Linked DNA regions of Drosophila melanogaster. The protein of the gene in region 1 interacts with the protein of each later gene in a pairwise test. Each region holds a gene or a part of one and is shown in the gene's direction. Other genes may lie near its edges.

The links. The genes of interacting proteins can lie anywhere in the genome.
Region 2: the proteins of CG16826 (region 1) and peng interact in a two-hybrid assay, tested with the Drosophila melanogaster proteins (one large-scale study listed by BioGRID).

Annotation. Positions count from the first base shown.
Region 1 is NT_033779.5:13,346,215-13,349,650, forward strand, and holds CG16826 (uncharacterized protein), read left to right. Parts: upstream 1-1,558; 5' UTR 1,559-1,582; coding exon 1,583-2,608; 3' UTR 2,609-2,806; downstream 2,807-3,436.
Region 2 is NC_004354.4:21,347,635-21,351,394, reverse strand, and holds the start of peng (penguin), read left to right. Parts: upstream 1-1,551; 5' UTR 1,552-1,643; coding exon 1,644-2,089; intron 2,090-2,690; coding exon 2,691-3,393; intron 3,394-3,461; coding exon 3,462-3,760. Other genes in the region: sol (small optic lobes), read right to left, coding at 545-786.

The DNA of each region.
Region 1 (3,436 bases):
TATTTGTGATGTAATCCCACTTACATAAACTTTTTTGAGCTAGCATTTAAGCTCATGCTTCTCGAATTCCCCACATGAATTGCTTTTCTTAAATGGACCAGACTCTCCCACTCCACACCTGATGTCCTCTAAATGGAGCCGATGATGAGCGTGATCCGCCAAAGGCAAGTTACTGCCCATACGACCCGACCCGACCTCTTTCTTTAAACAGGTAATTGCAATTGCGACATCATTATCATATGCTAAACGGAACTGATTGCTATTGAAACGGTTTTGAGGTTTGAATTTCTTTTGAGCTGAAACATATTTCTAATTAAATTAATTAAGCGAAGCGAGAATATGGCAAGTATGCAAGCCAATTAGTGGAAAACGCAAAATTAAATGTCTGTGCATTGAGGAGACTGCAGCGGTGTGGAGTGGATGGGTGTAAAAATAGCTGGGAAAAATGGCAACCAGAAGAGTGCGGGATCGCTCCGCCAACCCATTGTCCTTGTCCATGGAGCACTTTGTTGGCCACTCCGGCTATAATTGCGTTGAGACATGTAAGCTTTTGTTTTGCAGTTAGGCGTGTGGCTGTGCGACAAAGTTAATGACAGCATAATTAAACAAAACTAACAGCAGACTAATAAAATGTTCATAGTGCATGTCGCTCAAGGCCTCGGCACATCACCACGCCATCACAACCCCATCACCTCGCCACCCACAATGCCAGCTACTTTCCATATCTCCAAATGTATATACATTTATACAATACATATACCTGGCGAGCATTTCATGTCGTTGTGTGTCAACGTTTGTCAAGCGACAATTAAAGTCATAATAAAGGCATGCTAAAGACAATTATTATGTGCACGTCCTGCCACGCCCCCCAAAAAGAACCACCCAGTTCGTTCGGTTAGTTATGCATAAAGTTCGCCACAAAAGGGTTTAACCTGAGCGTAAACATGCGCTCCTTTGTCTCGCAGGCATATAAATTTCAAAATTAAAGCAGAGTTTAACCTTTGTCCTTGTGCAAATGGCAGGGTGGGTCTATAACCACCTGCCTGCGATTGTGTGAGACCCGCATAAAGAGCCTTCGGTTTTAATGCACGCGAAATTGACTTATTTGATTTATTTTCATAGTTTAAGCCAAGGGCTTTTATTATAAGCATGCTTTAAGTGAGTGGATTTGAGAGGGGATTTTAAGAAAATGCAAGGCAAAAGTTATATTTATATTCGCGTTGTTAATTATTTATTGAGTACTGTATTTTGCGGTGATTAAAAAAATAACGTTGTGTTTGAATAAAGAAAATCATTGTCCTCATAACACTGAGAATGCATAAAATAATTTTTTTTTTAATTGCCCCCAAGTACAGTAAAACAAATGTGCACAGAGCTTTCTTCGAAAAGTTATCCAACCAGCATGCATTCCACTATTCGCTCATTATGGAAAGCGGCTGATTAAATATTAACTAATTTAATAAAATGCCGGCCTGCTTCAATATTGAAATAGTCAGCGAATGTATTTGCCCAAGCGCACGTAGCCGAGATATATAAAAGGTGGTCCAGGGTGCAGAATGATTAGGCTATCCGTTGACCGACGATGCATTCGACCAAGTCAGCCGTTCTCCTGCTCGCCCTGGCCATCAGCGCCAGCTGCGTTGTTGCCACACCGCATCCGGAATTCTTGGATGAAATCTTCGGCTCCATAAACCAAACTGGCCAGCACATCATCAGTGGATTCGTGAATGCCACCAGGAATGGCACGGCCATTGCTGGTGAGTTCCTGGACAGCATAAGGAACTCCTCCGCCCAGTACACGCACGAAACCCTGGAGTTTGCCCAAAAAATCGCAGATGCAGTTCATAGAGCCGCCACTGAGTCAATCGTCGACTTTTCCGCGACTCTGAGGGCGCAGATCGACGCACTGCATCAGGGGATTGATCGGGTGAGAAACATCCTGCAGCGAGAGGCACTTAAGGATGCTCTCGCCAGACTGCAGACCGTCAATACCGTCGTAAATGATCTGGAAGTGGCCGTGAATAACCTCAATGATCGGATAGACGAGAAGAAACAAGAGTATTTCGCCATAATCCAGAAGAAGTGGTACCAATGGTCTGACGCCCAATTGGAACGAGTGGATAAGCTGACGAATGGAGTTGGCAACGAGGAAGCCGAGGAGATCATAAATGAGCTACTCTCCCGGTATTCCGGATATCTGCACAGCTGCCTGGAGGAGTTGCAAGCGCAGCAAGCCACGTTTGAGCAAAATGTCCAAGAGGCCATCGAAAAGTACCACAATGCCACCAACGAACTGACGGACCAAGTCGAGCTCTGCGTCCAGTTCAACCTCAGCTTCCTGTCCTGCCGCAATGGCATCAATGAGGCACTACGCGGACTCGACTCGGCTCCCGCGGAGCTGCTCACCCTGAAGCTTCAAGGCATCCGACTACTGGCCATCGGCCTGAATGCCAGCGGATGTGTGGGCCAGACCCTGGCCGAGCACGAGCTGGAGAAGCCCAGCGTGGAGCGCAAGCTGGATGAGATCATTGCGGAGTACCAGGAGCAGCAGACTTCCACCGATGACGACTCTAGCTCTAATAATGAAACGACCACCATAAGTTCGTAGGATTTCGGGGAGTCATCCAGTAATGAATATGACAACTCCAGCAATGACGACGAATCCTCATGGAAATATTTACAAGAACGTATAGTGTATTTTAGGTGTCGGGTAGAAGCAGCAAAATAAATTACTCTAATGCAACTAAATTAGAAATTGTTTTCCTTCATCGTTTATCAATGATGTTTCTTAATAAACTATGCCAAGCTTCTCAAAATATTTCTTAACTTTGAACAGTACTTTAAAAATTACTCTACCGCAAACGTATTACCCAGATACCGATTAACTTCATCAATGGTGCAGCACATTTTTTGCGGATGCTAAAGCAATTATTTTAAAATTGTCATATTCATTTATTTAGGTAAGGCACGAAAGTCGTGGCAATTTAAAGACACGAGGCTTTAGTAGATTAATTATTTAAATGCATTCGATTCTGCCTTTATATGTAAATTAAATAAGGGTGCTAAATAATATAGAAAAAGGGAAAAAGAAACTAACTTGCACTCTTAGCACCTCCCCTACTAACAAATGATGCAAATGAACTGAGTGAATTCCCCTTAAAGGACTTCCCCAGCTGCTATAAATATAAATAGTTGTATAACAACAGTAACGAAAGGTATAACACTGAATTAACAATCTCAACTGCTATAAAAATGAACTTTTGTGCTTTTGTATAACAGTCAATTGAAGAGGACACGAAGCGCGTAGTACAGCGTTTATAAAGTTTTATGCTGTTATATTTTTCAATGAAAATGTGTTATTTCATATCGAATATAACAGATTTGCTATAATATTCAAATTATGGCTCCGTTCAACTAGCATACATCTGATTCTCAT
Region 2 (3,760 bases), on another chromosome or scaffold:
CGTAATATAAAAATCTTTCAACTTATTCCTATACTCCCATTCGAGTTATTCCTATGGATAGTTAATCAGGATTTTCCTAACCGATTTCATTGTTTTCTTATTCTTTAAGTTTCATTATGCACAAAAGGGTTAGTGAGAACTATAAAATTTACTAAGATTTACTCGGTCTGCTCTTTGGATATTAAAGTTCAGCATAGGAGCTTACGTTGGTAAGCTTTTGGTATTATTATTCTTTGAAAGTTAAGGTTTTTGATTGACGAATTTTACCGATGAAAGTATGTACATATTTGTGTATTTGTATATTTTCCAAAGTGTGCATACAATGTGTGTGCGAAAAAAGTTGGATTTGAAAACGCCACCGATTTCTATACACATTACCATATGCGACATGATTTTAGCTAGCGCTTTTGTCCTCCAATTGGATGCCACCACTGGCGCCCACATACACACACACACACACGCATACAGACACAGACACACACAGGCACATCCTCGCAGAGGAGGCATACAGGCTGTTTGTTTTTGTGGCGACCGCTTCGCTTACCTGGCAACCGCCGCCCTGCCCTTCTCCTTGTCCCTCTCCTGCCCCTTCTCCGCCTGCTCCTGCTCCAGTGCATCATCAGCTGTCCAGGAGGCGGTGATGCTGCTGCTGCGATGCTGCTGCTGCTGTTGTTGGGGGAACACCTTGCGGACGGTGCCGCAATTGAAGCACTTGAGCGACTCCGTGGGATTGATAGTGTTACATTTGGTGCACGACCACTGCAGCACGGATGAGATGGTGCCCATTGCGCGGGGGAGTCGCAGGAGTTCCCAGATTCCTTTCGACTTCTGAGTTGTTTCTCTTGCTGTTGTTGTTTTTGTTGTTGTTGGCTGGCTGGCGGGGGAGTGGATGTGGAACTGGGACTGTCTATGGAAACTATGATGTGTAGGTGCGCTTTCGAGCTGGTGGCCGGGCGGAGATGGAGATCAATAGGAGGACCAGAACCCGGGACCAAAACGAGGACCAAGCAGTGGCTTCCAACAGTTGCACGCCGCGTTCTCCGTCGCCGTTTCACACCATTTTTTAACTGTTGCCGCTAGGGTTGTCGACGTTCGCGAACACCTCCAACGACAAGGTTGCCCGAGTGCGTGAACTCTGCCGGACAGGGTTGCCAGCGCGAGAAACACGGCTGCTACCCCGCAAAGCCAGTGTTGGCAAGTGCCGTTAATGAAAAATCGGTACCTTCAATTTTTAGACCAATTCTAATATGTTTTTGGGAATGAATACATACATATATTCATAAAACGACGCAAATACATGCATAAAATTATTTGACCTTCTATAACAAGTAATCAACATTGAGGAGCTTAGTTTAGGAAGAGTTTAAATTTAATATTTAGACATGGATTATTATTTTTTAGCCGCTTTCAAATGGAAAGTCAAATTGAACTGAACGCATTAACTTGAGTTAAATTTTAAACAAATAGAAGCACTTCATTGATACTTACTGTATGTGGAACGAAAATACCAGATTTTGGTATTTACACAGCTTGGGTATACTGCAACAATCTGGTCACTCTGCATCAGCAGCACGTGTAGTTCGCTTTTTTGGCAAAAACATTTGCTGTTATTTAGTTGTAGTGTCCAAGAAAACGCAGCAAAGATGGTTAGCTCGGAGCCGAAAGGACCTGCTAACGTGGCCAACACGGCCTCGCCCCTCAAGGCCCATGAATCGTCCGGCAAGCGCGCCAACGGACAGAAGTTTAAGCCCGGTGGAGCAGGAGGCGCCAGGAAGTTCGACAAATTCGGCGGAGGAGCAGGCAAGTCGTTTGTAAAGCCAGGCGCTGGTGGTGCCAAGAAGTTCGACAAGTCTGGGCCCGGTGGCTTCAAGAAGTTTGACAAATCCGGAGCCACCGGCGACAAGAGGCTTGGTGGCAACAAGTTCCGCGGAAAACCACAAACACAGCCACAGGCGCCGGCGGAGGGCGAGAAACAGGACTGGAACAAGTTCAAGAAGGAGAAGAAGGACCTCAAGCTGAAGCGCAAGAGTGCCAAGGACACCTACGAGATCAGCAAGGAGGCCAACCAGATCCACGAGAAGTTGCGATGGTGAGCATCCCCAAAAACACGATGAACAGCCCAAACAATCGGTTATTATCATCCTTAGCGCTCAAATTACCTATACAAATTATGATAGCTCAACAAAATCGGGCTCTTTCATGCACTTATGTACATTCAGAACGTACAAAGTTGTTTAAATTTCATAAGGCATCAATCTATACGATATAGTTTTAATAATTATAAGTCATTTTGGTTCCTTAAAGGACAAGATATCGATAAACATGGCCATGTGGATCCCAAAACGAAGCACCTGTTCGTGGAAAAACCGAACATTGCCACTTGGTTCGAATTCAAAAACACCAAACATTTTATTCATGTTCTTGAAACAATAATAGCTAGTTAAGCATTTTGATCAGTATCAAAACTAAGTTAATATAGCCTTGTATTTCTGTATAAATGTTGAGTTAGAACCAAGAGCGTAGATTCCAAAGACGCCTATTTAGCGCATGCTGTTTTGTTTGGTCATAAACAAACCAGCTCTATCCTCTGTCGCGTTTTTTTTTTTTTTCGTAAAATTACAACTAATGAATGCGCAAATCCTATTGCTCTGATATATATATATCAACATAATTTGGTGCTTGTCTTGCAGCCGCCGAACGGAGAACAAGGACAAGCTGGTGGAGCAGATATACAAGGTGCTCAACGTGGGCGACACTATTTCAAAGGTGGTGAAGGCCCACGACACCGCCCGCGTGATCCAGAGCATGCTAAAGTACGCGTCGCCAGCTCTGCGGGCCGAGATCTCTGAGAAGCTGCTTCCCTTCACCGTGGAGATGTGCCAGTCGAAATACGCCCAGTTCTGCGTGCAACGGATGCTCAAGTACGGTGCGCCAGCCACCAAAGCCAAGCTGGTGGACAGCCTGTACGGACATATAGTGCGTTTGGCCGGACACAGCATCGGCAGTGGGCTGCTGGATTCGATGTATCAGAGCGCCACACCCAATCAGCGCATCTATATGCGCCAGGAGTTCTACGGCGATCTGTACCGGAAGGCCAAGGATTCGAATGTGAAGACTCTGAGCGACACCTATAAGGAGGCCACGAACATGAAGGCCTCCATTTTGGGGTCGGTTAAAGCAAACCTGGATCATGTGGCCAACAAGCAGCTGGTGGACAGTGCGCTGGTGCACGCCGTGATGCTGGAGTACCTGCGCGCCTGCGACGAAGATGAGGAGAAGCTGGAGGAGACGGTCACTGCGTTTGCGGCTCTAGTGCCTCACATGCTGTCCACCAAGGAGGGCAGCGAGGCGGCTGTTATATGCTTCTACAAGTCGACGCCCAAGAATCGCAGAGTAAGTGGATCACGTATAACGTGTGTTGATGAAACAGAATCTTATATGTATTCTAACCCCTTCTTCAGGCCATTATCAAGAATATCAAGGAGCACCTGCTAAAGATCGCCAACCATGAGCACGGCCACGTGTTCCTCATCTCGCTGCTAAACGCACTGGACGACACTAAGGCGACCAAGAAGGCAATTTACGATCACCTACACGGAGATCTAAAGGCGCTAATGAGCAGCCCGTACGGCCGACGAGTGATTCAATGGCTGGTGGCTCCGGGTGATACGACATGCTTCCATCCAGAGTTCATTCGCACGGTGGAGGAGGGTCTAGCCTTTGGAAAAAAGGAGAAGGAGCTGCGTCGCAAGGAGATCCT